Saccharomyces cerevisiae S288C: one gene and its partner. The protein of the gene in region 1 purifies or fractionates together with the protein of each later gene. This does not show direct contact. Each region holds a gene or a part of one and is shown in the gene's direction. Other genes may lie near its edges.

Evidence for each region. Proteins that work in one complex are often made in the same cells at the same time.
Region 2: the proteins of ATF2 (region 1) and SEN54 purify together in Saccharomyces cerevisiae (affinity purification with mass spectrometry, with the first as the bait; one large-scale study listed by BioGRID). This does not show direct contact.

The regions. Positions count from the first base shown.
Region 1 is NC_001139.9:844,580-852,000, reverse strand, and holds ATF2 (alcohol O-acetyltransferase), read left to right. Parts: upstream 1-1,564; coding exon 1,565-3,172; downstream 3,173-7,421. Other genes in the region: PBP1 (Pbp1p), read left to right, coding at 1-954; ERG1 (squalene monooxygenase), read left to right, coding at 3,578-5,068; YGR174W-A (uncharacterized protein), read right to left, coding at 5,260-5,346; CBP4 (Cbp4p), read left to right, coding at 5,596-6,108; RBG2 (Rbg2p), read right to left, coding at 7,041-7,421. UniProt on the Saccharomyces cerevisiae protein: Can use acetyl-CoA to synthesize acetate esters from various alcohols, producing ethyl acetate, isoamyl acetate, isobutyl acetate, butyl acetate, hexyl acetate, heptyl acetate and octyl acetate.
Region 2 is NC_001148.4:393,773-399,997, reverse strand, and holds SEN54 (tRNA splicing endonuclease subunit SEN54), read left to right. Parts: upstream 1-1,892; coding exon 1,893-3,296; downstream 3,297-6,225. Other genes in the region: MOT1 (DNA-binding ATPase), read left to right, coding at 1-1,518; BRO1 (Bro1p), read right to left, coding at 3,426-5,960. UniProt on the Saccharomyces cerevisiae protein: Non-catalytic subunit of the tRNA-splicing endonuclease complex, a complex responsible for identification and cleavage of the splice sites in pre-tRNA. It cleaves pre-tRNA at the 5' and 3' splice sites to release the intron.

The DNA.
Region 1 (7,421 bases):
GAAGTCTTAAAAAGGTCAAGCTCTACATTAAAATCTAATTCTTCGTTGCCTCCAAAACCGATCAGCAAAACCCCTTCGGCCAAGACTGTTTCTCCTACTACACAGATTTCTGCAGGGAAATCAGAATCTAGAAGAAGTGGCAGCAACATATCTCAAGGCCAATCATCTACCGGCCATACCACGAGATCTAGTACTTCATTGAGAAGACGTAATCATGGTTCCTTTTTTGGTGCCAAGAACCCTCATACTAATGACGCCAAGAGAGTGTTGTTCGGAAAAAGTTTTAATATGTTCATCAAATCCAAGGAGGCCCACGATGAAAAGAAGAAAGGCGATGATGCCTCGGAGAATATGGAACCCTTCTTTATTGAAAAACCTTATTTTACTGCGCCAACCTGGTTAAATACAATTGAAGAATCGTATAAGACATTTTTCCCAGATGAGGATACGGCGATTCAAGAAGCTCAAACTAGGTTCCAACAACGCCAATTGAACTCCATGGGCAATGCTGTGCCTGGTATGAATCCAGCTATGGGCATGAATATGGGCGGGATGATGGGCTTTCCGATGGGAGGTCCATCGGCATCACCAAATCCGATGATGAATGGCTTTGCTGCTGGGTCAATGGGTATGTACATGCCATTTCAACCTCAGCCAATGTTTTATCACCCATCTATGCCTCAAATGATGCCAGTTATGGGTAGCAATGGGGCTGAAGAAGGAGGAGGAAATATTTCGCCCCATGTCCCTGCAGGTTTTATGGCAGCTGGCCCTGGCGCTCCTATGGGTGCCTTCGGGTATCCAGGAGGGATACCCTTCCAAGGAATGATGGGATCAGGTCCATCTGGCATGCCAGCGAACGGGTCGGCAATGCACAGTCATGGCCATAGTAGAAATTACCATCAAACTAGCCACCATGGCCACCATAATAGTAGTACCAGTGGCCATAAATAGTGAAGGAAGCACGTCAGAAAAAGCAATATATAGTAATAAATTCATGCACTTTATAAATATGGTATATAATCAGTGGTACTTACTTACCCATAAATAATGGAACTTTTAATTTTTATGGGAAGGATACTGGATTTTCATTTTTTTCATTTTTTTTGGAACAGGGTACTGAAACTTTTCTTTTTGAAAAAAAAATAAGAACTGAAGAATTTCAATGAACTGGAAGGCTCATCCATTTTTTTTTTTTTTCTTCAGATAGAACAGGCTTTAGCAAATTTTAAGTAATCAGTATTTCAATCGCCACAATCTCAGGCTACATTGAACTCTGTAGGCCACCGATAAATATTGCGGGATAATGAGTAAACGAATTCAACGAGTTTCCTATTTTGGTATTCTATATTTTTTCATACACCTAAACGATCGTAAACATTTGTTGTCAAGATTTACGTTTCTTCGAGGTCTGTGAAAATAGAGCAAATTGTTACTTAAAAGACAACAACAAATGTGTAGGGCAATTCTGCAGTAACAGCAATGTCATTCCTAATGCGTACAAACAGTACTGAGACTTTCAAACGAATAATAACTTCAGCAATAAAAATTGTCCAGGTTAATTATGGAAGATATAGAAGGATACGAACCACATATCACTCAAGAGTTGATAGACCGTGGCCATGCAAGACGTATGGGCCACTTGGAAAACTACTTTGCTGTTTTGAGTAGGCAGAAAATGTACTCGAATTTTACTGTTTACGCGGAATTGAATAAAGGTGTTAATAAGAGACAACTAATGCTTGTCTTGAAAGTATTACTTCAAAAATACTCAACTCTTGCGCATACAATCATTCCTAAGCATTATCCTCATCATGAAGCGTACTACTCTAGCGAAGAGTACCTTAGTAAACCTTTTCCACAGCATGATTTCATAAAGGTGATTTCTCATCTTGAATTCGATGACTTGATTATGAATAATCAACCAGAATACAGAGAAGTCATGGAGAAAATCTCAGAACAGTTCAAAAAGGATGATTTCAAAGTCACCAATAGGTTAATCGAATTGATTAGCCCTGTAATCATACCTCTGGGTAATCCGAAGAGGCCTAATTGGAGATTGATTTGTTTACCAGGTAAGGATACTGATGGGTTTGAAACGTGGAAAAACTTCGTTTATGTCACTAACCACTGCGGCTCCGACGGTGTCAGTGGATCGAATTTTTTCAAAGATTTAGCTCTACTCTTTTGTAAAATCGAAGAAAAAGGGTTTGATTATGATGAAGAGTTCATCGAAGATCAAGTCATCATTGACTATGATCGAGACTACACTGAAATTTCTAAATTGCCAAAACCGATTACGGATCGTATTGACTACAAGCCAGCATTGACTTCATTACCCAAATTCTTTTTAACAACCTTCATTTATGAACATTGTAATTTTAAAACCTCCAGCGAATCTACACTTACAGCTAGATATAGCCCCTCTAGTAATGCTAATGCTAGTTACAATTACTTGTTGCATTTCAGTACTAAGCAAGTAGAACAAATCAGAGCTCAGATCAAGAAAAATGTTCACGATGGGTGCACCCTAACACCCTTCATTCAAGCGTGCTTTCTTGTAGCCCTGTATAGACTGGATAAGCTGTTCACAAAATCTCTTCTCGAGTATGGGTTCGATGTGGCTATTCCAAGCAACGCAAGAAGGTTTTTACCAAACGATGAAGAGTTAAGAGATTCTTATAAATACGGCTCCAACGTTGGAGGTTCGCATTACGCCTATCTAATCTCCTCATTCGACATTCCCGAAGGTGACAATGACAAGTTTTGGAGTCTTGTCGAATACTACTATGACCGCTTTTTAGAATCGTACGACAACGGTGACCACTTGATTGGTCTGGGGGTCCTACAACTTGATTTTATCGTTGAAAACAAGAATATAGACAGCCTTCTTGCCAACTCTTATTTGCACCAGCAAAGAGGCGGTGCAATCATCAGTAATACAGGACTTGTCTCGCAAGATACGACCAAGCCGTACTACGTTCGGGATTTAATCTTCTCGCAGTCTGCAGGCGCCTTGAGATTTGCGTTCGGCCTAAACGTTTGCTCCACAAACGTGAATGGTATGAACATGGACATGAGCGTGGTTCAGGGCACTCTACGGGATCGTGGCGAATGGGAATCGTTCTGCAAGCTCTTCTACCAAACCATCGGCGAATTTGCGTCGCTTTAATGCGATACTGCCGTAGCGGGCCTTCGTATAGCTCGGCCGAGCTCGTACAAAAGGCAAGCAGTGTATCGGACAGAGCTGATATAACACAATACGCTCGTAGTCGATGCATGCCGTGGCTGCTCTCGGTCGGGTATAAGTCTTAGACAATAGTCTTACCTCGCATGTATAATAAATCTTTTGTATTTAATCTATTATATGTTTCTATGCTTTTTTTTCCTATTGTTGTTTGCTTTTCCTTTTCCTTATTTCTTTCTAGCTTCTAATTTTCTTTCTTTTTTTTTTTTTTTTCATTGAAAATTATATATATATATATATATCAGAACAATTGTCCAGTATTGAACAATACAGGTTATTTCGAACAATTGAAAAAAAAAAATCACAGAAAAACATATCGAGAAAAGGGTCATGTCTGCTGTTAACGTTGCACCTGAATTGATTAATGCCGACAACACAATTACCTACGATGCGATTGTCATCGGTGCTGGTGTTATCGGTCCATGTGTTGCTACTGGTCTAGCAAGAAAGGGTAAGAAAGTTCTTATCGTAGAACGTGACTGGGCTATGCCTGATAGAATTGTTGGTGAATTGATGCAACCAGGTGGTGTTAGAGCATTGAGAAGTCTGGGTATGATTCAATCTATCAACAACATCGAAGCATATCCTGTTACCGGTTATACCGTCTTTTTCAACGGCGAACAAGTTGATATTCCATACCCTTACAAGGCCGATATCCCTAAAGTTGAAAAATTGAAGGACTTGGTCAAAGATGGTAATGACAAGGTCTTGGAAGACAGCACTATTCACATCAAGGATTACGAAGATGATGAAAGAGAAAGGGGTGTTGCTTTTGTTCATGGTAGATTCTTGAACAACTTGAGAAACATTACTGCTCAAGAGCCAAATGTTACTAGAGTGCAAGGTAACTGTATTGAGATATTGAAGGATGAAAAGAATGAGGTTGTTGGTGCCAAGGTTGACATTGATGGCCGTGGCAAGGTGGAATTCAAAGCCCACTTGACATTTATCTGTGACGGTATCTTTTCACGTTTCAGAAAGGAATTGCACCCAGACCATGTTCCAACTGTCGGTTCTTCGTTTGTCGGTATGTCTTTGTTCAATGCTAAGAATCCTGCTCCTATGCACGGTCACGTTATTCTTGGTAGTGATCATATGCCAATCTTGGTTTACCAAATCAGTCCAGAAGAAACAAGAATCCTTTGTGCTTACAACTCTCCAAAGGTCCCAGCTGATATCAAGAGTTGGATGATTAAGGATGTCCAACCTTTCATTCCAAAGAGTCTACGTCCTTCATTTGATGAAGCCGTCAGCCAAGGTAAATTTAGAGCTATGCCAAACTCCTACTTGCCAGCTAGACAAAACGACGTCACTGGTATGTGTGTTATCGGTGACGCTCTAAATATGAGACATCCATTGACTGGTGGTGGTATGACTGTCGGTTTGCATGATGTTGTCTTGTTGATTAAGAAAATAGGTGACCTAGACTTCAGCGACCGTGAAAAGGTTTTGGATGAATTACTAGACTACCATTTCGAAAGAAAGAGTTACGATTCCGTTATTAACGTTTTGTCAGTGGCTTTGTATTCTTTGTTCGCTGCTGACAGCGATAACTTGAAGGCATTACAAAAAGGTTGTTTCAAATATTTCCAAAGAGGTGGCGATTGTGTCAACAAACCCGTTGAATTTCTGTCTGGTGTCTTGCCAAAGCCTTTGCAATTGACCAGGGTTTTCTTCGCTGTCGCTTTTTACACCATTTACTTGAACATGGAAGAACGTGGTTTCTTGGGATTACCAATGGCTTTATTGGAAGGTATTATGATTTTGATCACAGCTATTAGAGTATTCACCCCATTTTTGTTTGGTGAGTTGATTGGTTAACTACAGCTTATAAGGGAGAGAGGATAGGAACCGTCAAACATTAAGCTGCACCTTTTTTTTTTATTACAGAAGTCGGCTTGGAAGGCTTGTATAGTACATTACGATAAACACATCTTATTTTTATTTATTACTTATTTATTTTACATATTTTCAAAAAAATTCACATATCATTTATTATTAACCGAAGTGTTTTATACTTTTTGTTCTTTCCTTAAAAATGCCTCCAACAGAAAAGGAAAAATGGCTTGATATGCTTCAAAATATGCATTGAGATTCATATTCGGTTATCAATTAACGATATTACTTCCTTAAGTGATATTAAATCAAGCTTGCCGGATTCTGCAGTCAGAATTATACATAATAGTATTTGTGCTCTCGTAAATCCTTTCAGAATTACACCATAGTAGTCTTTGTGAATGTTCTACTTATTAGAATAGATTATTGCTAGTTTATCTCACTTTTCATTCCCCATATCCCTTTTTTTGCTCATCCCCCGGGGTATTTTATCAAGATAAAATTTTATATACATGCAGTGCGCGATAACTCCTAGAGAGGCAGTAATAGCAAAACAAAGACAGTATAAGCATTATTTGGGTATGGAAAGACCATTGTGGGTACGTTGGTTGAAAGTCTATGCAATTGGTGGCGCTATTATTGGAAGCGGGTTTCTGCTTTTCAAGTACACAACGCCAACAGATCAACAGTTAATCAGCCAGCTTTCCCCAGAATTACGTTTACAATATGAGAGGGAGAAAAAACTACGTCAGTCGGAGCAGCAGGCTTTGATGAAAATTGTTAAGGAAACTTCTCAAAGTGACGATCCAATTTGGAAGACGGGCCCCCTTCAATCACCTTGGGAAAGGAACGGTGATAACGTTCAAAGCAGAGATCACTTTGCTAAGGTGAGGGCGGAGGAGGTGCAAAAAGAAGAGTTGGCTAGGATCAGAAATGAACTGTCTCAGCTAAGATCTGAAACGGAGGAGAAAACAAAGGAAATAGTCCAGGATAAGCAGGTTAAAAGCTGGTGGCGCTTCTGGTAGATGGGTCGGGTCACTCAATTAGGAAGGGCAGCTTGAACTTTTGCATCCTAAAACATACGTCTGTGTCATTTATGATATATTATTTATTTGTACACTGTAAATAGGTTTAAAAATATAACTTCATACTTATTTTTAGCTATTTTAGTTCCCATACTTGGGGATGGAAAAAACATTGCGCAAGCCCGGAATCGAACCGGGGGCCCAACGATGGCAACGTTGGATTTTACCACTAAACCACTTGCGCTTGTTATTTATATGAGATTATTGCATCATGCAATGGGGTAATGTCAAGGTTCTTGACAATCCTAATATAAACAGTCTTAGGGAAGTAACCAGTTGTCAAAACGGTTTATCAGCTTGATTCACGGGATCTTACTTATCCTATATATTATATAAAATATGGATCATACTAAATGGTGGAAGCGCGGAATCTTGGATCTAAACCAATTGTTCAGATACTTATACGTTAGAGTAGGTTAGCTAAGGAAGGCAGAGTTTTATTTTCATGTTGCTCATTCTGTTCGTTTTGCTGTAAGGTTGTTTCATATGTGTTTTATGAACGTTTAGGATGATGTATTGTCATACTGAGGTATCCCATTCTGAGATACAACAGAGAAGGTTCCTTTATACTTACTACACTAGGTACCACTATTATAATTTCGAGATTTCATTGTCATTCGGGTTTATTTATTCATTTGAAGCCCAGAATGACAATTTTTATGAACGGAGCTCTTCAAATTACATTATAAAAGTATATACGAATATACCATGAAAGTAACACCTTCCGGTTCTCACTAAAAAACCTATTTTCAGCATTTATTTCTACTACAAGGAAAATGAGTCCGTTTAGTCATGCAAAATCTCTGCTCCGTACTACAGTTCTCGATGCTGATCTTGTTTTTTCATGTTTCTTTAAAATCTATTCATTTATACTATTTCGCGAATAAAGAAACTACATCTTCATCATCAATCCTGTGGTTTAAGCCGCACTTCTGAGGAGAATGTTTGGCAGAAGAACCCCAAACCAATGCGTATTTGAACTTATCTTTGAAATCCCTGTGGATACCATGACATAAGTCACCAATAGTGGAATTATTTCTTACCACTAGAGGATCATCAAATACTGGTCTAACACCTCTCTTCTTTGTATACACACGACTCAAGTTCAGCTGGTACCAAATTTCTTCAACGACGTCTTGTAATCCCAAATCCATTTCACAGGACATAACAACGGTGTTTGGCTCTCTGGCAAGTTTATCCACCTCTTCTAATGATACTGCATCTATCTTATTATACACATAAAGACATTTGAC
Region 2 (6,225 bases), on another chromosome or scaffold:
TATGCCGGTGGCCCAACTGTCAGATTAACTCTGAGACCACAGTTAAGTGATGCTGATATTATTGTAACATCATATGACGTAGCTAGAAATGATCTCGCAGTCCTAAACAAAACTGAATATAATTATTGTGTTTTGGATGAAGGACATATAATTAAAAACTCTCAATCAAAACTTGCTAAGGCTGTTAAAGAAATTACTGCAAACCATAGATTAATTTTAACCGGAACTCCCATCCAAAACAACGTTTTAGAATTGTGGTCTCTGTTTGACTTCTTAATGCCGGGATTTTTGGGAACGGAAAAGATGTTCCAGGAAAGGTTCGCAAAGCCAATCGCTGCGTCAAGAAATAGTAAAACATCATCTAAGGAGCAGGAAGCAGGTGTACTGGCTTTGGAGGCACTACATAAGCAAGTTCTACCTTTCATGCTGAGAAGATTGAAGGAAGACGTTCTATCTGATTTACCACCTAAAATTATTCAGGATTACTACTGTGAATTAGGTGATTTACAAAAACAACTATACATGGATTTTACTAAAAAACAAAAAAATGTAGTTGAGAAAGATATTGAAAATTCTGAGATTGCTGATGGCAAGCAACATATTTTCCAAGCTTTACAATACATGAGAAAATTGTGTAATCATCCAGCTTTGGTCCTTTCACCAAATCACCCGCAATTAGCGCAAGTACAAGACTATTTAAAGCAAACTGGTCTAGATTTACACGATATTATCAACGCTCCAAAACTGAGCGCATTGAGAACATTACTCTTTGAATGTGGTATAGGTGAAGAAGATATCGACAAAAAAGCAAGCCAAGATCAGAATTTTCCTATTCAAAATGTCATATCACAACACAGAGCCCTGATTTTCTGCCAACTAAAAGATATGCTAGACATGGTTGAAAATGACTTGTTTAAAAAGTATATGCCCTCCGTAACCTATATGAGGCTAGATGGAAGCATTGACCCAAGAGACAGACAAAAAGTTGTTCGGAAATTTAACGAAGATCCCTCTATTGATTGCCTACTGTTGACCACCAAGGTCGGAGGGCTGGGTCTGAATTTAACTGGTGCAGACACCGTCATTTTTGTAGAGCATGACTGGAATCCAATGAATGATCTACAGGCAATGGACAGAGCACATAGAATTGGTCAGAAAAAGGTTGTTAATGTTTACAGAATTATTACGAAAGGTACGCTTGAAGAAAAAATCATGGGTTTGCAGAAATTCAAAATGAATATAGCTTCTACAGTTGTTAATCAGCAAAACAGTGGATTAGCATCCATGGATACACATCAGCTGCTTGATCTCTTCGACCCCGATAACGTTACCTCACAGGACAATGAGGAAAAGAATAATGGCGATTCCCAAGCAGCCAAGGGCATGGAAGATATTGCCAACGAGACTGGTTTAACTGGCAAAGCCAAAGAGGCCCTCGGTGAATTGAAAGAGCTATGGGACCCATCTCAATACGAGGAGGAGTATAATTTAGACACCTTCATCAAAACTTTACGATAAACAAATTCTTGCATTGGAATGACGCGTATACAAGGTCATTTTTGTTTTATTTAACGCATTTATGTATTATCAACTTGTAATATAATACGGTATATTAATGGAGTCTTATAGAATTTACGGGTATATTCAAATCAGTATTGATAATGTTTTCATATTCTCTTGTTAAAATTCAGGTTATTAGCTGTCTATTGATTATGGCTTGGACTTTTTTTTTATTTTATTATTTTTCATAGTTAAGTTGCGCCAAAGGGAAACTAGAAACAGTTTAGTCGAACTCTGCAGAGCTTCATCTCAGTATGAAAAATTATTCATTTGAGCTATCGAAACGTTTGGATATAAACATACATAAAACCTCTGTTCTTCTGCCAATTTAAATGCAATTCGCTGGGAAGAAAACTGATCAAGTGACCACATCTAATCCGGGCTTTGAAGAAGAAGAAGAAGAAGAAGAAGAACTACAACAAGATTGGTCGCAACTCGCATCGCTCGTTAGCAAAAATGCTGCTCTTTCACTTCCAAAGAGGGGTGAAAAAGACTATGAACCAGATGGGACTAATTTGCAAGATCTGCTTCTCTATAATGCAAGTAAAGCCATGTTTGATACCATATCAGACTCAATAAGAGGCACAACAGTAAAATCTGAAGTAAGAGGATACTATGTTCCCCATAAACATCAAGCCGTTCTACTTAAACCCAAAGGCAGCTTTATGCAAACGATGGGAAGGGCTGATAGCACAGGCGAACTCTGGCTTGACTTCCATGAGTTTGTTTATTTGGCAGAGAGAGGCACTATTCTTCCTTATTATAGATTAGAAGCAGGCTCTAACAAAAGCTCAAAGCACGAAACAGAGATTTTACTCAGTATGGAGGATTTGTATTCGCTGTTTTCATCGCAACAGGAAATGGACCAATATTTTGTGTTTGCTCATTTAAAAAGGTTGGGTTTTATTCTAAAACCCAGCAATCAAGAAGCAGCAGTCAAGACTTCCTTTTTCCCATTGAAAAAGCAACGAAGTAATTTACAAGCAATCACTTGGAGATTACTTTCATTGTTTAAAATACAAGAGTTATCGCTGTTTAGTGGTTTCTTCTATTCTAAGTGGAATTTTTTTTTTCGTAAATATACGACTTCACCACAGTTATACCAGGGTTTAAATAGGCTTGTTCGTTCCGTGGCTGTACCAAAGAATAAAAAAGAGCTATTGGATGCACAATCTGATAGGGAATTTCAAAAGGTAAAGGATATTCCCTTGACATTTAAAGTATGGAAACCCCATTCTAATTTCAAGAAAAGAGACCCCGGTCTTCCTGATTTCCAAGTTTTCGTTTACAATAAAAATGACGATCTTCAGCATTTTCCTACCTATAAAGAGCTGCGATCTATGTTTTCCTCACTTGATTATAAATTCGAATTTTTAAGCGAAATCGAGGATGATGACGATTGGGAGACAAACTCCTACGTTGAAGATATCCCACGAAAGGAATATATTCATAAGAGGAGCGCGAAATCTCAAACTGAAAAAAGTGAGTCGTCTATGAAAGCAAGTTTTCAAAAAAAAACTGCACAGTCTAGCACGAAAAAGAAGAGAAAGGCGTACCCACCTCACATACAGCAAAATCGTAGATTGAAGACGGGATATCGGAGCTTTATTATCGCTATTATGGATAATGGCCTTATTTCGTTTGTAAAAATGTCCGAGGCTGATTTTGGATCTGAAAGTGTATGGTATACACCTAATACTCAAAAGAAAGTAGATCAAAGATGGAAGAAGCATTAAAGGGACTTTTGCTAAATCGCAGTTTCTTTATCCTTGCAAAACTGGCTTTCAACAAATCCGGTATATATATAATTATCATATTAGTTGAAAAAAAAAAGCTACAATAAAATTAAGAAATAAGAAATGCACCTAACTGCTGTATTTGGAGTACATATTTTCATCAAAAACAGAGGGTCTATTGTAAAAGGACGTAGGATTCTCTTGCAGTTCACGTTCTTCGTTTTCAACTGCTTTACGTCTTCTCAAGTCGTACATATCCTCTTGCGATTGTTTCGGTGGTACTGGTGGGGCTGCCATAGTAGGCGTTGCAGCATATGGCGAAGCTTCATAAGTTCTTGGTGGAATACCGGGTCCTTGAGGTAAATCACTGCCGGCACTTATTTTGAGATTTTGAAATTGGTCCCCTAAATTGAGCCCTTGTCTAGATAATGACTGAAAGGCTGCACTTTTTTGGGGCAGTAATGGAGGACCCCCAACGACAGACGCTTTAGAATCAAGTGGAGGGAGGGGAGGAGCGGGAGAATTAGCTGTTGAATCCTCGGTCTGCTTTGCAACTCTCACTCTTTCTGCTAAGTCTCTACTCATATTGAATAATGAATCATAGAACTCTATTCCTTTTGGCAAGTCGGATGCAAAAATACTGAATGATTTCACTGCTTCTTGCAGCTTATCAAAAAAATTCTTACGATCTTCTAAAAATTTTTCTTCCCCAGAAGATTTATCCTTGAAATTTGAAAGGTGAAAAATTTCATCTAGCTTGGCTTTGATGTCATCTATCATTGAAGATTGTTTGTAAATTGTCGCCTCTATTCTTGTGCTCAAAGGCTCGAATTTCTCCAGTTCCACCTCGAATAAATCTTTGAGCTCAACATCGGATTTCCCCTTATTAATAATTAATAATTTTGTGATATCATCGTTGTTGATTTCGTCTCTTAGTTCAGACAAATTTCTCGAACGTTCCTCTTTCAATGTTCTTAAGTCTTCCGCATGGCCCTTTACTTGTTTTAACAACTCTAATATCTTGTCGTTTTTGGTATCATCGATATCCAATAGGCTAGGTTGTGGAGGCGTATTGCGATTAAATTCGTCAAACTTCTTCCATATTTTTCCATTGTCATTCAATAGATTGATCTCGACAATATGTGGTTTTACGCATGCGAACAATTTTTCGTCTGAGTTTGAAGCAGCTACTAAAGAAGATTTTAGTTTTGTAACATTTTCTTTTTGATCATTGGGTAAGGCAGAAAGGATTTCTAAAATTTGTTTCCTTTTGAAAACAATTTTGTTCATCTGTTCTTCTATATCCCTAAATTCATTTGTTTGGATAAATTTACACCATGTCTGAATTTGGTCCCTCATCAATTGTCCCTGTGTATCCGTATTCGAGAAAATATTTCCGTCACTAAATTGTTTTTCCAAATCACTCAAGAGCCTGGGTAGATTTGTAAATTCGATGAAGGAAGAATATTCCAAATTTGCTGTCTCAGTTTCTTCAACTTGCTTTCTCAACAGCGTCGCTTTTTCTTCTGAGTAAATACTTTCCTTTTCATAGACATCTAGGGGAATAATTCCTCTGTACAAAGAGTCACATTTATTTGCAACATCTTGCATATATGGTTCTAATATCTTCTCCCATGTTGGAGATTTTATTGCATCGAGCGCCTTAATGGAATCAACCTGCACAACGGCTGGAACGCTTTCATGATATATAAAATCGTTATCTTTAATCAACTCCTTTTGTTTCTTTTCTAAAGTTTCTTTAAACCCATCAAAGTCTATAAATTCCACTAACCACGTTTTGAATGGAAGGGATGAAATCAATTGTTGCATAGAAAAATCGAGAAAAGCAATTGCTTCGCCAACTCTATTTTCTTCTTCAAGGTGTAAACCGTGATAATAAGCGCTTAACGATTTGTAGAAATGCAGTTTGCAAGTAACTGTCGTTTTCCATTTGGGTTCACCATAAATGGCCACATCGTCATCTATTTCTTTCATAAAATCGTGACATTTCTGAAAGAGGTTACACGTGGCTCTAGAAAGTTTACTGATTAATGTATATTGCTTGGATGATATTTGATCATTTAATAATTTCAAGACAAACAATTCTTGAGCTTCTGCATGGCAAATATTAGCCAGAAACCTAGTGTTTTCTGACTGAAGATCGACTGAAGGTGAGTTCAAAAAATTTTCTGATAGATATTCAAAACAGGAAAAAGCTTTTGTCAAATTTGCGATTGAGTTTTTGTAGTCCTCATTGATATTCTCCCTCGCAATTTGGGTAAAGATTACAGCAATGTTGAACAAAGTACAAGACTTTTCAAATGCTAACGTATGTTGCGTGTATTTCAATCCTTTCTGGGCCGATGAGTATTCTGCGTCATACCAAGTGAAATCCATTTTTAATCTTGATCCTTTGCTACCCAGGCGAAAATAAAGATGCTCCAAAAATGAGTAATATTTTAGATTTTGTTCCGACAATGAAGAAGGTGCTAGTTCTCCATTTGCATTATTCCTTAAGTGATCCAGTTCTGAAGTAGCTTTCTCATCATAAAATGTTCTCCATTGTGAGGAGCCGTATGATTTCTTGAGATATGAGGAGAGGCCTTTTTTCCAATCCAGCTTCTCTGTGTCTTTTAGCTTTAGGTCAAATAAGTAAGGTTTCATGAGTAGAACCAGTGAGTAATGAACCTAGTAATGCTCCAGTCAGCCGCTTTCTGATTCAAGATTTTTCCACGACAACCCCCTTAGTACTTCTTCGAATTGTAACTGAAGCCTTGCTTGCTTTCTGTTTCTCGGTGATCCTAACCCGGAACCGGCGTCCTGCATTAATCGAAGCAAGAAAATGAGGTATGATAGAATAATATTAGTATAAGCAAAGTTTCAGATCGCATTCATCTGATTTCTTACTGACAACGATGCATAACCTAAA